Linked DNA regions of Saccharomyces cerevisiae S288C. The gene in region 3 interacts genetically with the main gene of each other region. Each region holds a gene or a part of one and is shown on either strand. Other genes may lie near its edges.

What was found.
Region 1: of CYR1 (region 3) and GIS1, extra expression of one is lethal in a mutant of the other (dosage lethality), as found in Saccharomyces cerevisiae (one study listed by BioGRID).
Region 2: of CYR1 (region 3) and RAS1, a mutation in one rescues a mutant of the other (synthetic rescue), as found in Saccharomyces cerevisiae (one study listed by BioGRID).
Region 4: of CYR1 (region 3) and MSN4, a mutation in one rescues a mutant of the other (synthetic rescue), as found in Saccharomyces cerevisiae (one study listed by BioGRID).

The regions. Positions count from the first base shown.
Region 1 is NC_001136.10:632,022-640,323, forward strand, and holds GIS1 (histone demethylase GIS1), read left to right. Parts: upstream 1-5,117; coding exon 5,118-7,802; downstream 7,803-8,302. Other genes in the region: aminophospholipid-translocating P4-type ATPase DNF2, read left to right, coding at 1-4,099; mismatch repair ATPase MSH6, read right to left, coding at 8,088-8,302. UniProt on the Saccharomyces cerevisiae protein: Transcription factor involved in the regulation of gene expression upon nutrient starvation. Recognizes and binds to the post-diauxic-shift element 5'-T[AT]AGGGAT-3' in the promoter region.
Region 2 is NC_001147.6:512,939-516,673, forward strand, and holds RAS1 (Ras family GTPase RAS1), read left to right. Parts: upstream 1-2,305; coding exon 2,306-3,235; downstream 3,236-3,735. Other genes in the region: alpha-1,2-mannosyltransferase KTR1, read left to right, coding at 1-68; CRC1 (carnitine:acyl carnitine antiporter), read right to left, coding at 357-1,340; OST2 (dolichyl-diphosphooligosaccharide-protein glycotransferase), read right to left, coding at 3,511-3,735. UniProt on the Saccharomyces cerevisiae protein: The S.cerevisiae Ras proteins modulate the activity of the adenylate cyclase catalytic subunit and therefore affect the biosynthesis of cyclic-AMP.
Region 3 is NC_001142.9:421,902-433,047, forward strand, and holds CYR1 (adenylate cyclase), read left to right. Parts: upstream 1-3,255; coding exon 3,256-9,336; downstream 9,337-11,146. Other genes in the region: YJL007C (uncharacterized protein), read right to left, coding at 797-1,111; CTK2 (Ctk2p), read right to left, coding at 1,237-2,208; SYS1 (Sys1p), read right to left, coding at 9,688-10,299; COX16 (Cox16p), read left to right, coding at 10,743-11,099.
Region 4 is NC_001143.9:319,392-326,983, forward strand, and holds MSN4 (stress-responsive transcriptional activator MSN4), read left to right. Parts: upstream 1-3,836; coding exon 3,837-5,729; downstream 5,730-7,592. Other genes in the region: putative Mg(2+) transporter MNR2, read left to right, coding at 1-1,282; YKL063C (uncharacterized protein), read right to left, coding at 1,624-2,127; BLI1 (Bli1p), read left to right, coding at 6,380-6,721; fructose-bisphosphate aldolase FBA1, read right to left, coding at 7,017-7,592. UniProt on the Saccharomyces cerevisiae protein: Positive transcriptional factor that acts as a component of the stress responsive system. Recognizes and binds to the stress response element (STRE) which is involved in the response to various forms of stress (heat, oxidative, osmotic, etc.).

The DNA.
Region 1 (8,302 bases), on a different chromosome or scaffold from region 3:
GAACATTCTTTTCCAATTTCATAATTTTGCCAATATTTACTTTTTAATACTGTTGATTCTAGGTGCTTTTCAAATATTTGGTGTGACAAATCCAGGTTTTGCATCCGTTCCCCTAATTGTCATCGTAATTATCACTGCTATTAAGGATGGTATCGAAGATTCCAGAAGGACTGTATTGGATTTAGAAGTTAATAATACAAGAACACATATCTTAAGCGGGGTGAAGAATGAAAATGTTGCTGTTGATAACGTTTCCTTATGGAGGCGTTTCAAGAAAGCGAATACAAGGGCATTGATTAAAATTTTTGAGTATTTTTCAGAAAACCTCACTGCTGCTGGTAGAGAAAAGAAGTTACAGAAAAAAAGGGAAGAATTACGAAGGAAGAGGAACTCGAGAAGCTTTGGGCCACGTGGGTCTCTGGATTCAATTGGTAGTTACAGAATGTCTGCCGACTTTGGTCGTCCCTCTTTGGATTATGAGAACCTGAATCAAACAATGTCACAGGCTAACAGGTATAACGATGGTGAAAATTTAGTTGATCGAACGCTACAGCCAAACCCTGAATGTAGGTTTGCCAAGGATTACTGGAAAAATGTTAAAGTTGGTGATATTGTTCGTGTTCACAATAACGATGAAATTCCTGCTGATATGATCTTATTATCGACATCAGATGTTGATGGCGCTTGTTATGTGGAAACCAAAAATTTGGATGGTGAAACAAATCTAAAGGTCCGTCAATCATTAAAATGTAGCAAGATTATTAAGAGTTCAAGGGATATTACCAGGACGAAGTTTTGGGTTGAAAGTGAAGGCCCACATGCCAACTTGTATTCTTATCAAGGTAATTTCAAATGGCAAGATACACAAAATGGAAACATCAGAAATGAGCCTGTAAATATCAATAACTTATTATTGAGAGGTTGTACCTTGAGAAACACTAAGTGGGCCATGGGTATGGTTATTTTTACTGGTGACGATACCAAGATTATGATAAACGCTGGTGTCACTCCAACCAAAAAATCCAGAATTTCAAGAGAGTTGAATTTTTCTGTGATTTTGAATTTTGTACTATTGTTTATCCTATGTTTCACTGCTGGTATTGTTAACGGTGTTTATTATAAACAGAAACCTCGATCGAGAGATTATTTTGAATTTGGTACCATTGGAGGTTCTGCCTCAACTAACGGTTTTGTTTCTTTTTGGGTGGCGGTTATTCTTTATCAGTCATTGGTTCCGATCTCTTTATATATTTCTGTGGAAATTATTAAGACAGCACAGGCTATTTTCATTTACACTGATGTTTTGTTGTATAATGCCAAGCTAGACTATCCATGTACACCAAAGTCGTGGAACATCTCCGATGATTTGGGTCAAATTGAGTATATTTTTTCAGATAAAACAGGCACCTTGACACAAAATGTGATGGAATTCAAAAAATGTACTATTAACGGTGTGTCTTATGGACGTGCCTATACGGAGGCACTAGCAGGCCTGAGGAAGAGACAAGGTGTTGATGTCGAATCGGAAGGTCGTCGCGAAAAGGAAGAGATAGCAAAAGATAGGGAAACAATGATCGACGAATTAAGATCAATGAGTGATAATACACAGTTTTGTCCGGAGGATTTAACTTTTGTATCTAAGGAAATTGTGGAAGACTTGAAAGGATCCAGTGGCGACCATCAACAAAAGTGCTGTGAACACTTTTTGCTGGCGCTCGCATTATGTCATTCTGTCCTTGTGGAGCCAAATAAAGATGATCCTAAAAAACTGGACATCAAGGCTCAATCACCTGATGAGTCTGCCTTAGTTTCCACCGCCAGACAATTAGGGTACAGTTTCGTTGGTAGTTCAAAAAGTGGATTGATAGTAGAGATCCAGGGTGTTCAAAAGGAGTTCCAAGTTCTGAACGTACTTGAATTCAATTCGTCGAGAAAAAGGATGAGTTGCATTATCAAGATCCCTGGCTCTACACCAAAGGATGAACCTAAAGCACTGTTAATATGTAAAGGTGCGGATTCCGTTATCTATTCAAGATTAGATCGCACTCAAAACGACGCTACTTTGTTGGAAAAGACGGCCCTCCATTTGGAAGAATATGCCACAGAAGGTTTAAGAACATTATGTTTGGCTCAAAGAGAGCTCACGTGGTCCGAGTATGAACGTTGGGTTAAGACTTATGATGTGGCCGCTGCATCCGTTACTAATAGGGAGGAAGAGTTGGACAAAGTTACTGACGTTATTGAACGTGAGCTTATTTTGCTTGGTGGTACGGCCATTGAGGATCGTTTACAAGATGGTGTTCCTGATTCGATTGCCCTCTTGGCCGAGGCCGGTATTAAGTTATGGGTCCTAACGGGTGATAAAGTGGAAACTGCCATTAACATTGGTTTTTCCTGCAATGTTTTGAACAATGATATGGAATTATTGGTTGTGAAGGCTTCCGGCGAAGATGTAGAAGAATTTGGTAGTGACCCTATTCAAGTGGTTAACAATTTGGTGACAAAATACTTAAGGGAAAAATTTGGCATGAGTGGATCCGAGGAGGAGTTAAAAGAAGCTAAAAGAGAGCATGGTTTGCCACAGGGAAATTTTGCTGTCATTATCGATGGCGATGCGCTAAAAGTTGCTTTGAATGGTGAAGAAATGAGACGCAAGTTCTTGCTACTGTGTAAGAATTGTAAAGCTGTTTTGTGTTGCAGAGTTTCTCCAGCACAAAAGGCTGCAGTGGTCAAGTTGGTAAAAAAGACCTTAGACGTTATGACCTTGGCCATTGGTGATGGTTCGAATGATGTAGCCATGATTCAATCGGCGGACGTTGGTGTTGGTATCGCGGGTGAAGAAGGCAGACAAGCTGTCATGTGTTCTGATTATGCCATCGGGCAGTTCAGATATGTGACAAGACTGGTATTGGTGCATGGTAAATGGTGTTATAAGAGACTGGCAGAGATGATCCCACAGTTTTTCTACAAGAACGTTATTTTTACGCTATCCCTGTTCTGGTATGGTATTTACAATAATTTCGATGGGTCGTATTTGTTTGAGTATACGTACTTGACATTCTACAATCTTGCATTCACATCCGTACCTGTTATTTTACTAGCAGTACTCGACCAAGATGTTTCCGACACCGTTTCGATGCTGGTGCCACAGTTGTACCGTGTGGGTATCCTAAGAAAAGAATGGAACCAAACCAAATTTCTTTGGTACATGTTGGATGGTGTATACCAATCTGTGATATGCTTCTTTTTCCCCTATTTGGCGTACCATAAAAACATGGTTGTAACTGAAAATGGCCTTGGACTAGACCACCGTTACTTTGTCGGTGTCTTCGTTACAGCAATTGCAGTCACTTCATGTAACTTTTACGTCTTCATGGAACAGTATAGATGGGACTGGTTCTGTGGCCTATTCATATGTCTATCACTGGCCGTGTTTTACGGCTGGACGGGTATATGGACAAGCTCGTCGTCAAGTAACGAATTTTACAAGGGTGCGGCGCGTGTATTCGCACAACCTGCCTATTGGGCAGTACTTTTCGTTGGCGTGCTGTTCTGCCTACTGCCAAGATTCACCATTGACTGTATCAGAAAGATATTCTATCCGAAAGATATAGAGATCGTTAGAGAAATGTGGTTACGCGGTGATTTTGACCTCTACCCACAAGGCTACGACCCTACGGACCCTAGCAGGCCCAGAATAAACGAAATACGTCCCCTTACAGATTTCAAAGAGCCCATTTCACTGGACACTCATTTTGATGGTGTCAGCCACTCACAAGAGACCATAGTCACAGAGGAAATACCAATGAGTATACTCAATGGTGAGCAAGGCTCGCGCAAGGGGTACCGTGTCTCTACCACTCTGGAACGCCGTGACCAGCTCAGCCCCGTTACAACAACGAACAACTTGCCTAGAAGATCAATGGCCAGTGCCCGCGGAAATAAGCTCAGAACTTCGCTGGATCGCACAAGAGAAGAGATGCTTGCCAACCACCAACTGGACACAAGATACTCCGTGGAAAGAGCACGTGCCTCGCTGGATCTGCCGGGTATCAATCATGCAGAGACGCTGCTCAGCCAGCGCAGCAGGGACCGTTAATGATTACAATTTTTTTCTTCCTTTGTACTATGTATACCAATGTGATATGATATAGATTTCATATAGGATGTGATGATGTGTATCACCCGGCACGGCTCTACCCCGCCCTGTGGGGTGTGGAGAAAACGCCGCGCAGAGCCTTGAGTAGGAAGGGGCTGGGTTCTCCCCTTCCTGCCGGGGTCCGCCCGGCGCCAAGAGTAAGAGAGCGAAGCCGGAGACGTAATATGAAAAAAATTTTGAGGGGAAAGGGCGTCCGCAAGGGCAAGGGCAAGGGGAAGGGGTGGCGTTTTGTGCTTCAAGGAATTATATTTCGTTGTTTTCCGCACTATGGCGGCATTGTGGCAAGTAACTACTTTACGGAGAAAGACTAGAAAATGGTTACAACTGCCACTATTACCGCTTCGCATTCTCTTGTCTTACAGGTCCCTTGAATTGGCATTTACGTTTACATCCGATCCGGTTTTTCACCAAAGAGAAAGGAAAGGAAAGGTAAAAATAGCAAACCGAAAAAGAAAACAGTATTTTCTCTCTGTTTAGGATTATTACCACTACTTACTGAAGAGAAGTTTTTAACGTTTATCGTTTGTGTTGAGGTAGAAGTACAAACGCGTGTGTGAGTTGTGTATTTGAAATTATTATCCTTCTACGCATATCGGGAAAAAGTTAACGGAAAAAACAAGAAGAAAACCTCCCCCCTCCTCCTCCCGCCATACAGAAGGCAAAAGAAGTTGGTCTGTTAGGAAGAAAATAGCCAAGTAATAATACGTTTGGCCAGTTGTATTTTTTTTTTGTTTCGCTAAGTCTCTTGCTTACAGAAACTCTTTGCCCACCACATATTTCATCGTTTTTCCTTTCTGTTCATCATTAACCTCCATTTCCCAATTTTTTCCAATTTTCAATTTTTTTCACTATTTGTTTCTTTGTTGGGCGTTTAAAAAGTATTTGCTTCTACAAAGTGAACAACATCGTTGTAATTTTTTTTTTTTAATTTGAAGAATAGCTACAAAAACAGACTACAATGGAAATCAAGCCAGTTGAGGTTATTGATGGCGTTCCGGTTTTTAAGCCGTCTATGATGGAGTTTGCAAATTTCCAATATTTCATTGATGAAATTACTAAATTCGGAATAGAAAATGGTATTGTCAAAGTCATTCCTCCCAAAGAATGGCTGGAGCTTTTAGAAGGCTCACCTCCTGCGGAAAGTTTAAAGACTATACAACTAGACTCCCCGATTCAACAACAAGCCAAGCGATGGGACAAACATGAAAACGGTGTATTTAGCATCGAAAACGAGTATGACAATAAGTCGTACAATTTAACACAGTGGAAGAACTTGGCCGAAAGTCTAGACTCTCGAATAAGTCAAGGTGATTTTAATGATAAAACTTTAAAGGAAAATTGCCGCGTAGATAGTCAGCAGGATTGTTATGATTTGGCACAGTTACAAATTTTAGAAAGTGATTTTTGGAAAACCATCGCTTTTTCGAAACCTTTTTATGCAGTGGACGAAAACTCTTCAATTTTCCCCTATGATTTAACTTTATGGAATTTGAATAATTTGCCAGATTCTATAAACTCAAGTAACAGACGGTTACTTACTGGTCAGTCTAAATGCATTTTTCCATGGCATTTGGACGAACAGAATAAATGCTCTATAAACTACTTGCATTTCGGTGCTCCCAAACAATGGTATTCCATACCGTCCGCAAACACAGACCAATTTTTGAAAATTTTATCAAAGGAACCATCAAGTAATAAGGAAAATTGTCCAGCTTTTATTAGACATCAAAACATCATAACTTCTCCCGATTTCTTGCGAAAAAATAATATAAAATTTAATAGAGTGGTGCAGTTCCAACATGAATTCATCATTACTTTCCCTTATTGCATGTACTCCGGATTCAATTATGGTTACAATTTTGGCGAATCTATTGAGTTCATATTAGATCAGCAAGCTGTCGTTAGAAAGCAACCTTTAAAATGCGGCTGTGGAAACAAGAAGGAAGAGCGAAAATCTGGTCCGTTTTCAAATTTATCTTATGATTCTAATGAGTCGGAGCAACGAGGCTCCATTACTGATAATGATAACGATTTATTTCAAAAAGTTCGAAGTTTTGATGAATTACTAAACCATTCCTCTCAAGAGTTACAAAATTTAGAAGACAATAAGAACCCCTTGTTCTCCAATATTAATATGAACAGACCGCAAAGTAGTTCTCTTCGGTCTACTACCCCTAATGGTGTAAACCAGTTCCTGAACATGAATCAAACTACCATAAGCAGAATTTCTTCCCCGTTGTTATCAAGGATGATGGACTTATCAAATATTGTGGAACCCACTTTGGATGATCCGGGTTCCAAGTTCAAAAGGAAAGTTTTAACTCCGCAATTACCGCAGATGAATATTCCGTCTAATTCTAGTAATTTTGGCACCCCTTCTCTAACTAATACAAACTCCTTACTATCTAATATAACGGCTACATCAACCAACCCATCGACAACTACAAATGGCAGCCAAAACCACAATAATGTTAACGCCAATGGCATTAACACCTCTGCAGCCGCATCTATCAATAATAACATTAGCAGTACCAATAATAGCGCTAATAATAGTAGTAGTAATAATAACGTTTCCACTGTGCCTTCTTCAATGATGCATTCGTCCACTTTAAATGGGACTTCAGGTCTAGGCGGCGATAACGATGACAATATGTTAGCTTTAAGTTTAGCGACACTGGCTAACAGCGCTACTGCGTCACCAAGATTGACGTTACCGCCGCTGTCGTCACCAATGAATCCGAACGGCCACACCTCATATAATGGCAATATGATGAACAACAACAGTGGTAATGGTAGCAACGGTAGCAACAGCTATTCTAACGGTGTGACTACGGCTGCTGCCACAACTACATCAGCGCCTCACAATCTATCCATAGTGTCCCCTAATCCAACATACAGTCCGAATCCCCTATCTCTTTATTTGACCAACTCCAAAAATCCATTAAATTCAGGTCTTGCACCCTTATCACCTTCAACATCTAACATCCCATTTCTCAAGAGGAATAATGTGGTTACATTAAATATTTCAAGAGAAGCTTCAAAGAGCCCTATATCTTCTTTTGTAAATGACTATAGATCTCCGTTGGGTGTAAGCAATCCACTCATGTATTCTTCCACAATCAACGATTATTCAAACGGTACTGGAATTCGCCAAAATAGTAATAATATTAATCCCTTAGATGCAGGTCCATCTTTTTCTCCTCTCCACAAAAAACCCAAAATACTCAACGGTAATGATAATAGCAATCTGGACAGTAATAATTTTGATTACAGTTTCACGGGTAACAAGCAAGAATCTAATCCATCAATCTTGAACAATAATACTAATAATAATGATAACTATCGTACATCTTCAATGAACAATAACGGCAACAATTATCAAGCGCATTCTTCTAAGTTCGGTGAAAATGAGGTCATTATGTCAGATCATGGTAAGATTTACATTTGTCGGGAATGTAATAGACAGTTTTCCTCTGGTCACCATCTAACAAGACATAAAAAGTCAGTTCATTCCGGTGAGAAACCCCATTCTTGCCCAAGATGCGGTAAAAGATTCAAGAGAAGAGACCATGTTCTGCAACATTTAAATAAAAAAATTCCATGCACTCAAGAAATGGAAAATACTAAATTAGCTGAATCATAGGTCAAGAAAATGATATACAAAATGGGTTCAAAAAAAATTTTTATCGAATATTTTCCTGTAATAATATTGTTTCTTTTAGAAAAATTTTGGTTTTCTATAATATATTTATTCTCCATGTTTTAATTTTCTCAGCTATTAATGTTCAACTTATTCCTTATAAATTTGTCATTCATTTTTCATATATATCGTTAATATATAATCTTTGCCTGTTCTGAATCCTTTTTCAACGACCAAAACTTTAAAAAAAATAAGTAAAAATCTTACATACATCGTAAATGAAAATACTTAGGATTGTAAATCATCAATTATACTAAATAGACTTTTCAAAACGTTCCTTTTTATGTTCCAATCATAGTTCAAGACCCCTTCACCAGAACCTAATTTTGTATTCTTCAGTCCATCTCCGTACGCAATTCGAACGAAATCACTTTGTAAGCCACCTGGCACAGAGACAACTTCACCATTCAAATTATTTGCAGCTAAATCACGTTCTTTGACTA
Region 2 (3,735 bases), on a different chromosome or scaffold from region 3:
GTACTACTAAATTCTACAATATAAACAAGTTGCCAAAGCCTGCTGGTTGGCAAAACCATATCGGTTGATTATACTGTAATCAGCCCACGTTGTCTTTGTATTTTCCACTTTTTTTATTTATACTATTTAAAGAAACAGAATAAATTATAACTCTTTTTTTTACATATCACATTTATATTTACTCCATTGCGTTACAAATATGAACGCTTCGACAACAACGCCAAGGAAACCGGGATAACCCAACTGATATTTTCTACCATACACTGAACGAAATTGCAGAACCAAAAAATAACAAAAAGTTCCCAAAAGGAATGCCAGAAAAAAATGGGAGGCAGGTCCACCTAACAAAAATTTAATCATATGCCATACTTCTTGAACAGTGAATGAGTCATCTCCACACCTAAAAATGTGGCCGCATTGGCTGGGAAAGATCTTAGTAAAGCAGGACCTAAACCAGGGAAAAATCCCTTGATACCACCTCTTTGTAGATAAATTTCCTTTGTGGCGGAAAGCATATTCTGCCTCGTGGAGGAAGCCTGCAATTTTGTCTTTATAGTGTCTATGGGGAAAACAGCTAGCCACATCGACATACCAGCAATACCACCAGCAAGACACACGTTCAAGATATTGACCGGTTCATCTTTGCCCGCATCTTGACGAGGTTGCCTACTATTCAAGTAATTTTTTGAAATTTCATAAGATGCAAAATATAGAGCTGAGCCAGGCCCATCTCTTGCTAAAGTGGCTAATGAACCTTTAAATAAAGAAGCTATGCCACCTTCTTTAACAATGGTTTTAGCCGCCTGAATGAAAGAGCCCTTAGAAGATGTTTGCAGGACAACCTTTACTCTTTCCGTTGGCGCAGTCACTAAAGTGGTAGGAATAGCGCTGATAAATCCTGCTGCAGCCATTTGTCCCATAGTTAACTCGTTACTGCCTCCTTGCTTGTTATTAAAAGTAACCAGTTTCTTACCCACATCGTAACCCCAGAAAGAAACAGCGAATATGGGAGTAACACCTAATAAGGGCGGGATAACACCTTTATAGAACCCCTTTACGGAATTGGTAAATAATGTGCCCTTTACTTGAGTTTTTGCTTCTTTTATAATATTTGTAATGGCATGTACCGTGGAATTCGCTTGTCCATTTTGACATCTCACTTTAATCAAATCGAAGGGATGACCCGTAAACACCGCACATACCCCGCCAACTCCACCGGCCACAAATGATTTGATATTTTCGCGTACAGGGTTTGATTTTATAGGTGGACGAGACTTGGTCAAGCTCCCACTCTCTTCTTTCAATAATGAAGATTCTGATAATGAAGTGTCTGAAGACATTACTGACACGATGACGTTTGTGGAGGATAAGAAAGTCGTACAATACGTAGAATCCAAGGAAAACCTGGAATAAAAACACACATAGAGCGCAATTGAATATCGGCTATTTCTACAGTACAAGCGTCTGCCTATATATGCGCTTGAAATATATCTATTTCGACTAAAGGAATTATACCATCATGCATCTTTACTCTTAAATCTCCATTTGTCCACCGACTTATTGCGGCAAGTGGAGATCCAGTCACGCCGGATGACTGGGTGTAGATAAATAGCCGCCCAACTGATCCCTGCATAAAGCTTATATGCGGATATTAGGAGCAGTAACCCGATGACATTAAGCGTGTAGCCACAAGGAACTTCACCATTACTCATAGCAGAAAAAGCAGTGACCAAAAAATGGCAGGAATGACTCTTTTCTGTTTCCCCTCATATACACTGAAACATCTCGATATAAAGCATGCCCTTTATTGTACCATCAATGCAATGTAACGGCAAACGAGGCTAGGAATATGTATTACCCGCACTGAATTGCTTCTTCACTTAGCACACCCTTGATCGCTATGTTCTACGCTGCTACCCGTTCGGTAGGGAGTGGCGGGGAAATTCACATTGGCACAATGTAAACCCGTAGGAAAAAAAAAAAGCACGAAGAAAAAAAAAGAAACCAAAAATATTTACTACATGTAAGTCTATGGACATTTGACAACAAACTTTTTCAACTCATCGCAAGATTATGAATTTTTCACGGCTTTTCAGGTTTTTTCCTCCTTTTGTTTTACATTGAAAGGTTTATATTTTATGTCTTTGTATGGTTCTCTTAATTTGGATTCTTTCTTGTACGGTGTCTCTATTATCATCTGTCTTGTTCTTTCTTGCAATGCTTAATTAACTGCTGCCACAATTGACTTCGGTTTGGCTATTTCACGATTGAACAGGTAAACAAAATTTTCCCTTTTTAGAACGACATGCAGGGAAATAAATCAACTATAAGAGAGTATAAGATAGTAGTTGTCGGTGGAGGTGGCGTTGGTAAATCTGCTTTAACAATTCAATTCATTCAATCATACTTTGTGGACGAATATGACCCTACTATCGAAGATTCTTACAGAAAACAAGTTGTCATCGATGACAAAGTATCCATTTTGGACATTCTAGATACTGCTGGACAAGAAGAGTATTCTGCGATGAGAGAACAGTACATGAGGACTGGGGAAGGTTTCCTACTGGTCTATTCCGTCACCTCTAGAAATTCCTTTGATGAGTTACTGTCTTATTATCAGCAAATTCAAAGAGTAAAAGATTCTGACTACATTCCTGTAGTCGTGGTAGGTAACAAATTGGACCTTGAAAATGAAAGACAAGTCTCTTATGAAGACGGGTTACGCCTGGCCAAGCAGTTGAATGCACCCTTTCTAGAAACGTCTGCGAAACAAGCCATCAACGTAGACGAGGCCTTTTATAGCCTTATTCGTTTGGTAAGGGACGACGGTGGGAAATACAATAGCATGAATCGTCAACTGGATAATACGAATGAAATAAGAGATTCGGAGCTAACCTCATCTGCAACAGCGGATAGAGAAAAAAAGAACAACGGGTCTTATGTACTCGATAATTCTTTGACCAATGCTGGCACTGGCTCCAGTTCAAAGTCAGCCGTTAACCATAACGGTGAAACTACTAAACGAACTGATGAAAAGAATTACGTTAATCAAAACAATAACAATGAAGGAAATACCAAGTACTCCAGTAACGGCAACGGAAATCGAAGTGATATTAGTCGTGGTAATCAAAATAATGCCTTAAATTCGAGAAGTAAACAGTCTGCTGAGCCACAAAAAAATTCAAGCGCCAACGCTAGAAAAGAATCTAGTGGTGGTTGTTGTATAATTTGTTGAAAATGATCCTGCTCTCTTGATATGACATGGTTTTGATTGCAAGTCTATTCTTACTTGTTCAATTGGTTTCACCAGCATCTTTTTGTATCCATTTTCCTATGCTGTGTATCTAGTAAAAGAGTTGCTTGCCACCAAACATTAATACTAATGGTTAATCTGCCACCTTTTGTAAGCTTTCTATAATGTACAATTGTAATATGTTCTTTTATTCTCGTACAAAGTATATATACTATACACATACAAGCATGCATGCAAGCACGCCGGCAAACCCTTCCTCAATTTATAAAATGTAAACAAACGAAATGTAAAATCAAACTAGCAACAATAAACTCGGCAAAAGCTCTGTTTTTAGAAATGCCTGGAAAACTATTACACAATTGTAACCGCAAACTCATCAATAGGACGAATTGTCCCACACAAATAATGAATCCCGCTAAAAACGCATTGAATGGAAAATTATCACGGATCAAGATAATGAATGTACACTGGATCACCCCTAA
Region 3 (11,146 bases):
TTTATTGATTAATAATACAAAATGTTCGGACAAGTGATCATTAGATATCAACATGAATTCAATTGGTAACAATTTCGATGCTTACATTTTATGCTAGTATACACCACGCATATGTCTGTCAATGTACCTATTACAGAAGGAAATGTTCAAGAAGCAGTTCAGACAGTACCGAAGCAGAATTAAAAATCCATTATTTGAATATGATCTGATAGTCATATATATGAGCAATACAGGTCTTCACATTAAATGTATGAGAACTGCCGGAACCACTATTACATTGGTCACAATTAGGAATGAACCAATCGGCGTGTGTTTTATATCCCCCTTATATAAGTCTAAGAAGATCGATATTCAATCTTCATTAATAAAGCTTTTTGACCTCTACCTATGAGCAATAAACCATATCCATCAATAGTGGTCAAGCCGTAAGAATGTTTTTACCGAGAATAGAAGTAAACTTTTCTTATTGTATATAAGAAAAGCATATAAACACGCGCCCAGAGAACATATTCAGTATGCCCTAGCTTGGAAACACATCAGTAAAATACTACGCGCCTAGTATAATGACTTCTATATCCAAAATTTTTAAGTTAACCTTTCAAGTAAAAGATCTTTGCCTTATACTACTGTCTGAACAACTCGTATAAATTAATGTATGATATGAACATTCCCATTGTTACGATAGATGTCCTAATGAGGATCAACTATAATCTATCGAATAGTATTCATATTACTAATATATTATCATGTACGATGTACCAAGATGGCATGAAGATTGAGAAAACAGTCATCAGATTTAATAGATGCTGAAATGCCAGGACTGATAGTGTAACAGAATAATGAATGATATCATATAAATTGGGGAAACAATAATGACAATATTATGTGAAAATATCAATTCTCTTTTGTGGATTACAAGATCCCCTGGAGAACTTCTAGTATGTCCTGTATACCCGGTGCTATATCCTTTAATAACCATGGAATCCGCAAATATTTGATGTAAAGTTTGTTTTTCTTCCCCAACATCCTTTGTATGCTTCAGTAGCTCAGTAGGAAGAGCGTCAGTCTCATAATCTGAAGGTCGAGAGTTCGAACCTCCCCTGGAGCACATTTTCTTTTTTTGTGAATTAAACCTCGAAGCTCAACATTCATGTTTTGAGATAAAAAAAGGTACTTATTACTTGTGTAAAAGAAAGTTTATAATGATGATCTTATTTAAGTTTATAGTAGGACTTTCTATGCATGTCTTGTAGAACTATTTATGCTGGACTCGCCATTAATTAGCTCCAGTGAAAGTACATATCTTCTTTCTTGGACATTATTATCTCTAGTAATAGTGATATAAGGATCGGCATTCAACAGGTGATCTGGTATTTGCGGCAATCCAGATTCTGGTCCTGCGTTTTTTTTCAGTTCCATAAACCTTTCAACGCCAATCGGCAGCAAATCAGCCGGTAAATGACGTTGTAGATCGCACATATCGAATGAATTGATGTAAAAATTGACTATATCAAAATAAGCTTCATTTACGGATTTCTCGTCTGTTTCAAATAAAGAATACCTTTTACTTGACCAATTCTTATTATCTAGTAATTCATATGCTATTTTCAAAATGGCCAATGCAATGGAATGTTGGGGTATGACTAAAATAGTTTCTAGCTTCAAAGCATCATAAGCAATTACCCAAGCCAGATTGCACAACTTATAATCAAAGGATAGCTCCCTACCAATTTTTATAACATATTCATCAATATGAACGTAATTGTTGACTCTATAATCGAATGAGCATGACTCTAATATCCGAAGTTCTATTTGAAATACCCTTTTTTTAAAATTTTCCAAAATGTCCGTATTGATTTTAACCACATTCCTCAATCGTAATGACAAAGTACATATATCATTTGTTTTTTTAATTGTCTCAACTTCTTTACAGCCCAAAGTCAGGCAGCTTGTCGCTACAGTGTAGCAAACCTCGGTCTCGAAGCGATTAAAGAGGTGGTATCTTTGGTAAAAGTATACTGCTGTTTCTAAAGTCTTCCGTGGAAATTTCAGCTGAACACACAAGTCACTTAGAAATTTGAACACGGCAAGTTTTTTCTGGTTGTAATTTCGATAGTCCGATATTGTATTCTTTTGGGCTCTTTGAATTTGCCTTTTAGACAGAAACGGTCTCGAAAAAAAAAGCTGGGATTCAAACGTGCTAGGCATATCAAAGTACGTAATTTTCTTAGTTTTGCTGGCTCTATATCTCCTCTCGCTCTATAGATACAGATATATATATATATATATATATATCTATGTGTATAAAGACGGCTTTCAGGACAGTACTTGTTTGGATTTTTGATCATCGCGGATTTTCGCAATGCAAGTATAAAGAGAGCATTACCCGCCACACAGTGATTCTTCAGCAAGTTGTACCGAAAAGGACCATTTAGGTACGTGGGATCGCAAAGGTTCCCAAACGGTGTGCATCAAGCCGTAGACTTCATGAGTGCTTTCGGTGCAGCAAAAAGATAAGGACAAAAAATACTGAAGGATGCGAGGTTCGAACTCGCGCGGACAACCGTCCAACAGATCTTAAGTCTGCCGCCTTAGACCACTCGGCCAACCCTCCATCTTATTTAAAAATCCTAGGAAATAGATGTTATATAAGTCATACATCATTGAAAACATCAAATACCGTTCCCTGCGTTGTTCTACAGAAAAGCGCATTAGAGTAGGTCATACCCTTTAAAAAATGATTTTGTAAATGCCAGAAAGTAAACAAATATGCATTTCGCCTAGCTCCCAATGTAAATAGCCATAAAAAAGGATAAAATGCCAGATTTAGAGTCAGTTCTCGTTCTTCTTCTTCTCTGTGTTCAATTGTTCAATTGCATTGTTAATCACTGAAATTCTATGTTTCAAATTGGAATGGCAGACTGAACTGAGACCTTCCTTACTTTCTCCTCTATCAAACCTAAATATTCAATCATAACCTTATTTTTTCACTTCCTTTTTCTTACTTTTTTTTTTTTTTTTTTTTTGTATTTTGGAAGGAAAGCAGGGGGGACTTACCATAAGAAAAGCGACTCTAAAAAAGTGTATTTTCTTCCAAAGTTCAGTAAAGACAGCTGGGAAGTATAGTAACAGAGGAGAGAAAGCATAAGGAGACCTCTTGCTGCAGTTCACAACCAAAAATAGCATATCTTTACTATTGTCGCTAACCATTGCGAAACGAGCTAAAGCAACAGCAAACGAAATCCCTAGGTCGAAATGTCATCAAAACCTGATACTGGTTCGGAAATTTCTGGCCCTCAGCGACAGGAAGAACAAGAACAACAGATAGAGCAGAGCTCACCTACGGAAGCAAACGATAGAAGCATTCATGATGAGGTACCAAAAGTCAAGAAGCGTCACGAACAAAATAGTGGTCACAAATCAAGAAGGAATAGCGCATATAGTTATTACAGCCCACGGTCGCTTTCTATGACCAAAAGCAGGGAGAGTATCACTCCAAATGGTATGGATGATGTAAGTATTTCGAACGTGGAACATCCAAGGCCGACAGAACCGAAAATCAAAAGGGGTCCATATTTACTGAAGAAAACATTGAGCAGTCTTTCAATGACGAGCGCGAATAGTACTCATGATGATAATAAAGACCACGGTTACGCTTTGAATTCATCCAAGACGCACAACTACACATCTACTCATAACCATCATGACGGTCATCATGATCATCATCATGTTCAGTTTTTTCCCAATAGGAAGCCATCATTAGCGGAAACCCTATTCAAAAGGTTTTCAGGGTCAAACAGTCACGATGGCAATAAGTCAGGAAAGGAAAGTAAAGTTGCTAACCTTTCCCTTTCAACGGTAAATCCTGCACCTGCTAATAGGAAACCTTCTAAAGACTCCACTTTATCTAATCACTTGGCTGATAACGTGCCAAGCACTTTACGAAGGAAAGTGTCCTCATTGGTACGTGGTTCTTCCGTCCATGATATAAATAATGGTATTGCAGATAAACAGATTAGACCAAAGGCTGTTGCGCAATCAGAAAATACATTACATTCATCCGATGTTCCCAATAGCAAACGCTCGCACAGAAAAAGCTTTCTGCTAGGCTCCACATCTTCTTCAAGCAGTAGAAGAGGTTCAAATGTCAGTTCAATGACTAACAGTGACAGTGCAAGTATGGCGACGTCGGGTAGTCATGTTCTCCAACATAACGTATCTAATGTTTCTCCAACTACTAAAAGTAAGGACAGCGTTAACAGCGAATCCGCCGATCACACTAATAATAAATCCGAGAAAGTGACTCCAGAATATAATGAGAACATTCCGGAAAATTCTAACTCTGACAACAAACGCGAAGCCACAACGCCTACTATAGAAACACCCATTTCATGTAAACCATCCCTTTTCAGGCTAGATACAAACCTTGAGGATGTTACTGATATTACAAAGACGGTGCCACCCACCGCTGTCAATTCTACACTAAATTCTACACACGGGACTGAGACTGCCTCACCCAAAACGGTGATCATGCCTGAAGGTCCTAGGAAGTCGGTGTCAATGGCTGATCTCTCCGTCGCTGCCGCAGCACCTAATGGTGAATTCACATCAACTTCCAATGATAGATCACAATGGGTAGCACCTCAAAGCTGGGATGTGGAAACCAAAAGGAAAAAAACAAAACCTAAAGGGAGATCGAAATCAAGAAGGTCAAGTATAGATGCTGATGAACTTGATCCCATGTCACCGGGGCCACCTTCAAAAAAAGACTCTCGTCATCATCACGATCGAAAGGATAACGAATCAATGGTCACTGCGGGTGACAGTAACTCAAGTTTTGTTGATATATGTAAAGAAAACGTTCCGAATGATAGCAAGACCGCACTCGATACTAAATCTGTGAACCGCTTAAAAAGTAATTTGGCTATGAGTCCCCCAAGTATACGATATGCTCCATCAAATTTAGATGGGGACTACGACACGTCTTCCACTTCCTCATCTTTACCGTCCTCATCTATTAGTTCAGAAGATACATCTTCCTGCAGCGATTCCTCTTCGTACACTAACGCGTATATGGAGGCCAACCGAGAGCAGGATAATAAAACACCGATCCTGAATAAAACGAAATCGTATACCAAGAAATTTACATCCTCTTCGGTAAATATGAATTCACCAGATGGTGCCCAGAGTTCTGGATTATTACTACAAGATGAGAAGGACGATGAGGTCGAGTGCCAACTGGAACATTACTATAAAGATTTCAGTGATTTAGATCCAAAGAGGCACTATGCTATTCGTATATTCAATACTGATGACACTTTTACGACTCTCTCATGTACTCCAGCGACTACCGTCGAAGAGATAATACCTGCACTTAAAAGAAAATTTAACATTACAGCGCAAGGGAATTTTCAAATTTCCCTGAAGGTGGGAAAGTTGTCAAAAATTTTGAGACCAACTTCGAAACCTATTTTAATTGAAAGAAAACTTTTACTTTTGAATGGTTATCGAAAGTCAGACCCACTTCATATTATGGGTATAGAGGATTTAAGTTTTGTTTTTAAGTTTCTTTTCCATCCTGTCACACCTTCTCACTTTACTCCTGAACAAGAACAAAGAATAATGAGAAGCGAATTTGTTCACGTAGATTTAAGGAATATGGATCTGACTACACCTCCCATCATTTTTTACCAGCATACGTCAGAAATAGAAAGTTTAGACGTTTCTAATAACGCAAATATATTCCTACCTCTGGAGTTCATTGAAAGCTCGATTAAATTATTAAGTTTGAGAATGGTTAATATTAGAGCATCTAAATTTCCTTCCAATATCACTAAGGCGTATAAACTAGTATCTTTGGAATTACAGAGAAACTTCATAAGAAAAGTACCGAACTCAATCATGAAACTGAGTAATTTAACGATATTAAACCTTCAATGTAATGAGCTTGAAAGCCTACCGGCTGGATTTGTTGAACTGAAAAATCTGCAATTGCTAGACTTGTCTTCAAACAAGTTCATGCACTACCCAGAAGTTATTAACTACTGCACCAATCTTTTACAAATAGACCTATCATATAATAAAATCCAAAGCTTACCACAGTCCACTAAGTACCTAGTAAAGCTTGCGAAGATGAACCTTTCTCATAACAAACTAAATTTTATAGGCGACTTATCGGAAATGACAGATTTGAGGACGCTGAACCTAAGATATAACAGAATATCATCAATTAAGACAAATGCGTCTAACTTGCAGAACCTTTTTTTAACAGATAATAGAATTTCGAACTTTGAAGACACTTTGCCGAAACTAAGAGCCCTTGAAATTCAAGAGAATCCAATCACTTCTATATCCTTCAAAGATTTTTATCCAAAAAACATGACAAGTTTGACGTTGAACAAGGCACAGTTATCGAGTATTCCTGGAGAATTACTCACCAAACTATCTTTCCTCGAGAAACTTGAACTTAATCAGAATAATTTGACTAGACTGCCACAGGAGATATCCAAGTTGACTAAATTAGTTTTCCTTTCAGTGGCGAGAAACAAACTAGAGTATATTCCACCCGAGCTATCTCAACTGAAAAGTTTGAGGACATTAGATCTACATTCTAACAACATAAGGGACTTTGTTGACGGTATGGAAAACCTTGAACTAACATCGCTAAATATTTCATCGAATGCATTCGGTAACTCTAGCTTAGAAAATTCTTTTTACCATAACATGTCATATGGGTCAAAGTTATCTAAAAGCCTGATGTTTTTTATTGCTGCAGACAATCAATTTGATGATGCTATGTGGCCTCTTTTCAATTGCTTTGTCAATCTGAAAGTGCTAAATCTTTCTTACAACAATTTTTCAGATGTATCGCACATGAAACTTGAGAGCATTACCGAATTGTACCTCTCCGGTAATAAGCTCACGACATTGTCGGGTGATACAGTTTTGAAATGGAGCTCTTTAAAGACTTTAATGTTGAATAGTAACCAAATGTTATCTCTGCCTGCAGAATTATCAAATCTCTCACAGCTAAGTGTATTTGATGTTGGAGCAAATCAATTAAAGTATAATATATCAAACTATCATTACGATTGGAACTGGAGGAATAATAAAGAACTAAAATATTTGAATTTTTCAGGAAATCGAAGGTTTGAAATAAAGTCATTTATAAGTCACGATATTGATGCTGATTTGTCAGATCTGACAGTATTACCTCAGTTAAAGGTACTAGGTTTAATGGACGTAACTTTAAATACTACCAAAGTACCGGATGAAAATGTCAATTTCCGTTTAAGGACAACTGCATCAATAATAAATGGGATGCGCTACGGTGTTGCTGATACATTAGGTCAAAGAGACTATGTGTCATCTCGTGATGTTACCTTTGAAAGATTCCGCGGAAATGACGACGAATGCTTACTATGTCTTCATGATAGTAAAAACCAAAATGCAGATTATGGCCACAATATATCAAGAATTGTTAGAGATATTTACGATAAAATACTGATCAGACAACTGGAAAGGTATGGAGACGAAACAGATGATAATATAAAAACTGCACTTCGTTTCAGTTTTTTGCAACTGAATAAGGAGATTAACGGAATGCTAAATTCTGTTGATAATGGTGCCGATGTTGCCAATCTTTCATATGCAGACTTGCTAAGTGGCGCTTGCTCTACTGTGATATATATCAGAGGGAAGAAACTCTTCGCTGCAAATTTAGGTGACTGTATGGCTATTTTATCCAAAAACAATGGTGACTACCAAACGCTAACCAAACAACATCTCCCAACAAAGCGGGAAGAATACGAGAGGATCAGAATATCTGGCGGGTATGTCAACAATGGAAAATTAGATGGTGTTGTAGATGTGTCTAGAGCAGTGGGTTTTTTTGATTTGCTTCCCCACATTCATGCTTCTCCCGACATATCTGTCGTGACATTAACAAAAGCAGACGAGATGCTTATTGTAGCAACGCATAAGTTATGGGAATACATGGACGTGGATACAGTTTGTGATATCGCGCGTGAGAATAGTACTGATCCACTCCGTGCCGCAGCTGAGTTGAAGGATCATGCCATGGCTTACGGCTGTACAGAGAATATTACAATTTTGTGCCTTGCTCTTTACGAGAACATTCAGCAACAAAATCGGTTCACTTTAAATAAAAACTCTTTAATGACTAGAAGAAGTACTTTCGAGGATACTACATTAAGAAGACTTCAACCTGAGATTTCTCCGCCAACAGGTAACCTAGCAATGGTCTTCACTGATATCAAAAGCTCAACCTTCTTATGGGAGCTATTCCCTAACGCAATGAGGACCGCAATAAAAACTCACAATGACATTATGCGTCGTCAACTACGAATTTACGGTGGTTACGAAGTAAAGACAGAAGGAGACGCCTTTATGGTGGCATTTCCTACGCCAACTAGTGGTCTGACATGGTGCTTAAGTGTTCAATTAAAACTCTTGGATGCACAATGGCCGGAGGAAATTACCTCAGTTCAAGACGGCTGCCAAGTTACGGATAGAAATGGTAACATTATCTATCAAGGCCTATCAGTTAGAATGGGTATTCATTGGGGCTGCCCAGTTCCAGAGCTTGATTTAGTGACTCAAAGAATGGACTATTTGGGGCCGATGGTCAATAAGGCAGCAAGGGTCCAGGGCGTCGCTGACGGTGGTCAGATTGCAATGAGTAGTGATTTTTACTCTGAATTCAACAAGATAATGAAGTATCATGAGCGAGTAGTGAAGGGCAAGGAATCTCTCAAGGAAGTTTATGGTGAAGAAATTATCGGAGAGGTTCTTGAAAGAGAAATTGCCATGCTGGAAAGTATTGGTTGGGCATTTTTTGACTTTGGCGAGCATAAGCTAAAGGGACTCGAAACCAAAGAACTCGTTACTATTGCGTATCCTAAGATTCTTGCTTCCAGACACGAATTTGCATCTGAAGATGAGCAGTCAAAATTAATCAATGAAACGATGTTGTTTCGTTTAAGAGTCATTTCAAACAGACTGGAATCTATAATGTCAGCTTTAAGCGGCGGATTTATTGAACTAGACTCTCGGACGGAGGGAAGTTATATTAAATTTAACCCTAAAGTTGAAAATGGTATTATGCAATCGATTTCTGAGAAGGATGCGTTGTTATTTTTTGATCATGTAATTACTAGAATCGAATCCAGTGTGGCATTATTACATTTACGACAACAGAGGTGTTCAGGACTGGAAATTTGCAGAAACGATAAAACATCTGCTCGAAGCAATATTTTCAATGTTGTTGACGAACTTTTACAAATGGTTAAGAACGCAAAGGATTTATCAACTTGAGTTCTGTTCGTAAATTATGTACCACCCTGTTACTCGTTTCATATTCACGCTAGAGAAGTACCTCAGCTTACTAGATCCATTCACACATTGCAAGTATACTAAAACTATATAAAATTTAAGTACGTAAACTCTTTACTTATTATTATCTTCAATGTCATCACGTACTTAATTATGTTAAATATAGATTGTGTATAAATAAGAAATAGGATCTGTTTTGAAAAATTGGCCAAAAAGGCAGATTTATTAAGCCTATAGAGATAAGGTTCTTGCCATTTTTCATACATTTACTGTTTTCTCTTGAATGACTATAATATTGCCAAAATTGCCTCGAATATGTTGTTTCATCTCCTCTCATATTTGGCTTTCTAAGTCTTTTAGTTGTATTGGTGATTGCTCCAATTCTGAATGATTACTATGCTGCTGACTAGGCGTAACCAATCCAACTTCTCCTTCATTAGGATCAACCAAGCCCTCAAAAAAGGTGTCTCTAAGCTCTCTCCATCTTGTTGTCCATGTCCCCAAAAATATTAGTATTAAAGATGATAAAATTTGAAGAAAAAACCAAGAAAAAGAAGGAAATTTCCGAGTATAGAGGAACACCACAATAAAATTGATGGCATGTATAGTGATAGCAAAATCCCATGCGAGTTTACTCCGTCCAACGATAACAGTTAAGAAAAAAACACATATTAATGAATCCAGAAGCCATAACAGTGAGATTGATAAACCGTATGCGTTCGTAAAGTCGATATTCTCCCAAGAAAACAGCCATTCCTTGATATTGAGATCATATCCCGCTAGCTTCGCCCAACAATAAAAAAGAACGATCGCTGTGGTGTAATAAAAAATCTGTAAAAGAACAATTTGAAGTCCAATCTTACTTGGAGAGAGAGAATCTTGTTTGAAGATCTGGGAAGGTTTCAACTCATTCGGCACTCGCAAATACCTTCTTATCGAAACCATGTTACAGTAATTCAAATGCCTATTTTTTATCTCACTTCTATGTGTACCCTTCCTTAGCCTTCCTAAAGATCATCTCTTAACATGAAGTTACAGAATATTACCGTGAATATCGCGAGCTACGAATATTTTGGGTGGGGAGATATTTATTCATGATTAGCCTTGTCCTATAGTGTTACAATGGAGCAAATTGTTCACCGTTAGTATTTTGAATACGACAATATTAAATGAATAATAGCGCCTATCTCTTGTTACGTTTGGCGATTTGTATACCTTGTTAAATAAACTGATTAAAAGCCGGGTTATGGCCGTACACAAGTTATTAGAAAGCAAATACACTTCCTTATATCTGGTCACCTAGTTAATAAAAGGAAGTCTTTAATTTTGGCAAAAACCACTATATATATTAGTCAACAACTGAAATATTACCAGAATTTGTCTCCTAAATGTCGTTCAGCGGAAAAAAATTTAGGTCTAGAAGACAGCAGCTAGTATATGAAGCATCTTTAGCGGGGCGATACAAAAAAGCATTGAGTAAGCACCCCTTTCTTTTTTTTGGTTTACCATTTTGTGCAACAATAGTATTGGGTTCGTTTTGGTTGTCAAGCTTTACAGCGATCAAGTACGAGCAAGGCGATCGTAAAGTTCAGGAAATTAATGAAGAGGATATCTTGAAAATAAGGAAGAATCAAAGGGAATTTGATATTAAAGAAGAATATTATCGTTTACAAGGTCTTTCTGAAGAGGATTGGGAGCCTGTGCGCGTCGCTAGGTTAAAGGATGAATCTGAGAATGTCTGGTAACATTCAAAACGTGAACATCTTTGTTATTCTTCTGTCCTTAAACTACT
Region 4 (7,592 bases), on a different chromosome or scaffold from region 3:
TTACCTGATTTGTTTTAGAAGTTTCGATATTGTAGCAGAAAAGCATGTTCGTCGGAGGAGAAAAGAAAAGCAAGAATCTGCTACCTTGGATCATGAAAGTATTTCACGTCGTAAATCACAAGCCTATGGTGCTACTATGTCAAATGAATCAAATGCAAATAACAATAACAGTACAAGCAATGCAAGTAGGAGCAAATGGCTTCCATCGATTTTACGTGCACGCCGTCGGTCATCTGCAAATAGAACAACCAATACATCATCATCAAGCTATAAACGCCGTGTCAAAAGCGAAAAGAAAAAGATGGAAGAGAACGAAAAATTCAAAAGAAAATCAGGAGACAGGCACAAACCACGTGAGGGAGAATTAGAGCCATTGAATGTTTACATTATTGTTTTCAGAACTGGTGTATTGACGTTTCATTTTGCTCCCACACCACATCCTATTAATGTTCGAAGAAGAGCAAGACTACTAAAGGATTACCTTAATGTTACCTCTGATTGGATTGCGTATGCCTTAATCGATGACATTACAGACGCATTTGCCCCTATGATAGAACTTATCGAAGATGAAGTTTATGAGATTGAGGACGCCATTTTGAAGATGCATCAGTCAGATGATTCTAGTGATAGCGATTCTAGCGATAGTGATTCCGATTCGGGCGCTAGCGATGAGGATGCATTTCCGTTCGATGTCTATTCTAAAAAGACGTCCTACTCTAGTGCAAAATCTAGTGTGAGTTCAAGAAGTATGAGCACTTCTGAAGCGTCATTCAATGCAAATTTGATAGGTTGGAAGAGAAAAGGAGATATGTTGAGGCGGATTGGTGAATGCCGTAAAAGAGTGATGAGTATACTAAGATTGCTAGGATCCAAGGCTGATGTGATAAAAGGATTTGCCAAAAGGTATAATGAGCAATGGGAAGCTTCGCCACAATCTGAAATCGCAATGTATTTGGGTGATATTCAAGATCATATTGTAACCATGGTCTCATCGCTAAACCATTATGAAAAACTGTTAAGTAGATCGCATTCAAATTATCTGGCACAAATCAACATTGATATGACGAAGGTTAATAATGACATGAACGACGTTTTGGGAAAAATTACCATACTGGGTACTATTGTTCTGCCAATGAATGTGATTACGGGTCTGTGGGGTATGAATGTTATCGTGCCCGGACAATACAGGGATTCGTTGACATGGTTTATAGGCATTGTGCTTTTTATGTGTATGCTAGCATGTTCTGCATATATGTATACTAAGAGAAGATTCGGGTTTTAATTTAAGTGTTTTTTCGCGCATTAGCGCTTGCTTTTCCTTCGATTTTAATTATCAGCCTAAATTATTGTTGTCTTTCCCGAAGGATAGAATTGTAAATTATCAGCGCCGTATCGTATACTTGTGGTGATAAATATCTTTAATCTATTTATGTTTTTTTTTTTTTTTTTTTTCGTGTCTGGTTTCTACATGTTTGTGAACGTTCTGCATATCTTTATGTACGTACACAGTATGTTAGTATGCACTTATACTATACAAAGAATAAGGGAGGTGAGGTTAATCAATAAGGTTAACGTAAAACATTTATTATTTTCATCACCAAACTGTTGGAAGTTTTGAATTGGTTAATTATCAAGGATTTCATTGTTAGCCAAATTTTCCTTGGCGAGATCTTGTTTCTCTTTCTGGAGTTGCTGTTTTTGTTCTTTTTTGTCCTTGTTTATTTGTTTTTGCTTTTCTGAATCAATTTGTGGTTTCAAATCGTTCTCCAAATTCTTTACTTCTTGTTGCTTTGCGACTTCATTATTGAACTTTTCTTTAGGTACTTTAGCTTGTTGTGGTTGCTTATTGTTAGTCGCATCAGCTGCACCGCCGGCTGCAATATTGGTATGATCGCTTGCACTTGCAGAAACATCAGAAGAATGGCTTTCTAGCTTGATCTCAGTTTCTTTATTCAGATCAGAATAGGCAACTTTTATAACGAAATAAACGCCACATAACAGTATAATGTATACTATAATCTTTTTCATAGGGGTAGTCAGATAACCGCCCCTTCTTCTGGAATTATATTTGCTTCCTGTTTTATAACGAGGTAAAAGATCTTTTTTCCTTCTGATATCGCCCTGCATATTTTCTATAATTATGAATCACTTTAGTTTGATTTATATTTGCTCAGAATACCCTAGCTTTATCTATATAGTACTACTACTTTGGAGGGGAGGAACGTATGTTGGAAGGCAATAGCACTCTGGTAAAGTGCTAACTCTTAATGTTAATGACGAAATCACTTTTTTTGCCTTTCTGAAAGATTGGAAGACTGTCACTGAGAAATTCGCTATTCTTTTCTTTTTCTTCGTGTTTTTTTTTGTTAGAATACTGCACAGCTTGCTATCCCGCTGCACAGCTTGCTATCCCGCTGCACAACATGAAATTGCTCACGTCGTGCCAAATTACATATAGGTGCTTACCCTGTTTATATTTTTTGCCTTCATAGCGGAGTTTTTAAGGGTAGCCCTTATGTTTTTAGCGTTCATTTGAACGAATGGCTAACGCTAAACGGAGAAGAGAGGAAAACAAGGCCGCTGGCGTTATTGCGCGTAAAAACAGGAGATAAGCACTGTTTAACATACATTTCATTGAAAGCTTAAAGCCGCAAAAGATGAAGGGTTTTCAAAATTTTCATCTCTTGCAGTATAAGGATGCAGTGAATCTATCTACAGACAGTTGATAAAAACGTCTACCTTGCCTAGTGTACCCAGCTGCTGTCAACTTCTTTCCTTAGCGCGTAAAGAGCTATGTTTTCGATAAAAGATGCAACATAAATGCTACGATGTAAGGCACCCAGGACCTCTGAAGGCAAAGAAGTTGTGAAATTTGAAAAATAATCGCTCAAAAAGGAATAATTGTCAAGCGTAACGATTTTTTTGATTTTCCGAAATCAGGGGAGGGGAAAAGAAAAGGGGAAGGGGTCTCCTCACAGGTATTGTGAGCTCCAAGCAATCATTTTGCCAGCACTAGGAAATAATAAAATGAAAGAAAAAAACATACATAGAAAGTGCCGCTCCGGGGCATTTTGAGCGCGGCAAAAAAAGCCCGAAGATCCGTTCCTCGAAGGAACGGCAACCGCACACCAAGAAAAAGGGAAAAAGGTGGGGTTGGCTGTAAAGTACGAGCGCGGGGACGGATCCGTAACAATTTCTATGTGGGGCCAGCAGCCGGCTGCTGGTGGGTACTGTTGTACGAAGCGGTTGGTAGCGATGACAGTGGCCAGGGCTGCTAGGCATGGTGCCGTGAAAACCCAGCGCAAATGTCAGGCTGCAGGAACCGGCTTTCTCCCACGAGGTTTCACTGCTGGCGGCGTACTGGTCATTTTTAGAACCTGAAAACCCGAGCTAGAACTAGGACTCTTGAGCAATAAGGTTTGCGCATTGCTATTCTCCGGATAAACCAAACCCACCCTTTTAAGAGCGTTTAACAAAGGTCTCTTATCTATCAAAAGTATTATGGCTATTTCTGGGATTCCGCTTGCGGGCCTTTCTACCCTCTTGATGCTACACATGTTTCCCTTAGATGCATGAGCATACCTGTAGGTACTTAAATTTTATTTTTATGCATCTTATTTCTGTCTAAATTTGTATATAACAAGCAACTGCAGTTCTGTGATGTGTTTTTCGCAACTGGTCAACAGGCTTAAGAATTTTTCCGTCTCTTTCCGTTTTATTTCCAGAGAATTAACATTTATAGAGAAAAGAATTAAAACGTGAAATTTCCTTTTTGAATATTTAACGCCTTTATCAGTTCGGCTTTTTTTTCTTTTCTTCTTATTAAAAACAATATAATGCTAGTCTTCGGACCTAATAGTAGTTTCGTTCGTCACGCAAACAAGAAACAAGAAGATTCGTCTATAATGAACGAGCCAAACGGATTGATGGACCCGGTATTGAGCACAACCAACGTTTCTGCTACTTCTTCTAATGACAATTCTGCGAACAATAGCATATCTTCGCCGGAATATACCTTTGGTCAATTCTCAATGGATTCTCCGCATAGAACGGACGCCACTAATACTCCAATTTTAACAGCGACAACTAATACGACTGCTAATAATAGTTTAATGAATTTAAAGGATACCGCCAGTTTAGCTACCAACTGGAAGTGGAAAAATTCCAATAACGCACAGTTCGTGAATGACGGTGAGAAACAAAGCAGTAATGCTAATGGTAAGAAAAATGGTGGTGATAAGATATATAGTTCAGTAGCCACCCCTCAAGCTTTAAATGACGAATTGAAAAACTTGGAGCAACTAGAAAAGGTATTTTCTCCAATGAATCCTATCAATGACAGTCATTTTAATGAAAATATAGAATTATCGCCACACCAACATGCAACTTCTCCCAAGACAAACCTTCTTGAGGCAGAACCTTCAATATATTCCAATTTGTTTCTAGATGCTAGGTTACCAAACAACGCCAACAGTACAACAGGATTGAACGACAATGATTATAATCTAGACGATACCAATAATGATAATACTAATAGCATGCAATCAATCTTAGAGGATTTTGTATCTTCAGAAGAAGCATTGAAGTTCATGCCGGACGCTGGTCGCGACGCAAGAAGATACAGCGAGGTGGTTACCTCTTCCTTTCCTTCTATGACGGATTCTAGAAATTCGATCTCTCATTCGATAGAGTTTTGGAATCTCAATCACAAAAATAGTAGCAACAGTAAACCCACTCAACAAATTATCCCTGAAGGTACTGCCACTACTGAGAGGCGTGGATCAACCATTTCACCTACTACCACTATAAACAACTCTAATCCAAACTTCAAATTATTAGATCATGACGTTTCTCAAGCTCTGAGCGGTTATAGTATGGATTTTTCTAAGGACTCTGGTATAACAAAGCCAAAAAGCATTTCCTCTTCTTTAAATCGCATCTCCCATAGCAGTAGCACCACAAGGCAACAGCGTGCCTCTTTGCCCTTAATTCATGATATTGAATCTTTTGCAAATGATTCGGTGATGGCAAATCCTCTGTCTGATTCCGCATCATTTCTTTCAGAAGAAAATGAAGACGATGCTTTTGGTGCGCTAAATTACAATAGCTTAGATGCAACCACAATGTCGGCATTCGACAATAACGTAGACCCCTTCAACATTCTCAAGTCATCTCCGGCTCAGGATCAACAGTTTATCAAACCCTCTATGATGTTGTCGGATAATGCCTCTGCTGCCGCTAAATTGGCGACTTCTGGTGTTGATAATATCACACCTACACCAGCTTTCCAAAGAAGAAGCTATGATATCTCGATGAACTCTTCGTTCAAAATACTTCCTACTAGTCAAGCTCACCATGCAGCTCAACATCATCAACAACAACCTACTAAACAGGCAACGGTAAGCCCAAACACAAGAAGAAGAAAGTCGTCAAGTGTTACTTTAAGTCCAACTATTTCTCATAACAACAACAATGGTAAGGTTCCTGTCCAACCTCGGAAAAGGAAATCTATTACTACCATTGACCCCAACAACTACGATAAAAATAAACCTTTCAAGTGTAAAGACTGTGAGAAGGCATTCAGACGCAGTGAGCACTTGAAAAGGCATATAAGATCCGTTCATTCAACGGAACGCCCTTTTGCTTGTATGTTCTGTGAGAAAAAATTCAGTAGAAGTGACAATTTATCACAACATCTAAAAACTCACAAAAAGCACGGTGATTTTTGAAAAAAATAAGGTCAAAAGCAAATAAAAGCAAGACAAGCTACGGTATGACAAGTTTTCGGAGAAATAATATTCTTTCTTCCTCAGTTTACAAAACAAGTAGGTTGGTCATTTCATTCGGATATATTCTAAGGAATGAAATGAACATTGGTGTTTGTTTCTAATATAATCTTAAGATATTTTAAATTGTTTCTTTCCTTTTTTGCCTTTCTAACTATTACTTCAACTTCTTTTCCGTATATTTCCGTTTTTTCCATTTGGCAGATTAAAAAAATTGTGCACGTTCTGGTTTTAACGTATAGACTTCTAATATATTTCTCCATACTTGGTATTTTTTATTCACTTTTTTTATACATATTTGGTTTTTTTATACAATATCAAAAATCAATAATAATTAATTTAATAACAAGAATATGTTGCTGTGATGACTCTTAATATACAATTGGGAAGCATTCAAGGATTGGTACGACGTTTGCTTTCTGATAATTAAACGCTTGGCGTTTAATCTTTTTTGCCGATTAATAATATTATTATTACCCTCTTATTTATTAGCATTGTCTTCCGTACTAAAAGGAGTAGGGAAAAAGGCGAAGTAGAGTGACACGTCCATTACCCAGCGCTTCATAAGAATCCATCAGGTATATTAAATTGTGATGGGAGAACAAAACAAATTGTACTATGATGTCGAGAAATTGGTGAATTCTTTGCAGGAAAGTTTTGACCTGGATTGCGCGCAAAGTGTATCACTTTTCACCAGTAAATCAAGGAGCAATGAGGCTTGGTTGGAAGAGCTAGAGAATAAATTCAAGTTAAAAGATGATGTTGAACTTGATGATGTGGAAAATTTAAGAGCCGAAATTGACATGAAGTTAAATATGTTGGAGGATAAAGTAAGCTACTATGAAAGACTTTACAAAGAACTCGAAGAGTTCCAGAATGAAATAAAAATTAAAACAGTTGTGAATAACAGAAGACAATCGCGAACTCCAAAATGAGCTATCAAAAACGATAGATCGATTAGGATGACTTTGAAATGACTCCGCAGTGGACTGGCCGTTAATTTCAAGCGTGAGTAAAATAGTGCATGACAAAAGATGAGCTAGGCTTTTGTAAAAATATCTTACGTTGTAAAATTTTAGAAATCATTATTTCCTTCATATCATTTTGTCATTGACCTTCAGAAGAAAAGAGCCGACCAATAATATAAATAAATAAATAAAAATAATATTCCATTATTTCTAAACAGATTCAATACTCATTAAAAAACTATATCAATTAATTTGAATTAACTTATAAAGTGTTAGTGGTACGGAAAGTTTCCAAAGACTTGGTGATCTTAGCACCCATGGTCTTTTCACCTTCTCTAACCCAGACTCTTGGGTCGAAGAACTTCTTGTTTGGCTTTTCTGGACCTTCTGGGTTACCGACTGGGGACATTATGTAGTCCTTCTTGTTCAAGACGTAGTCTCTGATACCAGTCAAGTAAGCGTATTGACAGTCAGTGTCCAAGTTGACCTTGACAACACCGTTGTCAATACCAGTGTGGAATTCTTGGACAGTAGAACCGGAACCACCGTGGAAGACCAAGAACAATGGCTTTTCTTCCTTGCAACCAACTTGTTCTCTGGTGTACTTTTGGTGTTCAGCCAAGATTTCTGGTCTCAAAGCGATGTCACCAGCGTACAAACCGTGACAGTTACCGAAAGCAGCAGCAATGGAGAAGTTTGGAGAGATTGGGTGCAAAGCCTTGTAGACGTTGTAAACTTGTTCTGGCTTGGTGTACAAGTCTTCCTTGTCAGCGTTTTCGTTGTTAACACCATCTTCTTCACCACCGGTAATACCGATTTCCATTTCTAACCATTGGTC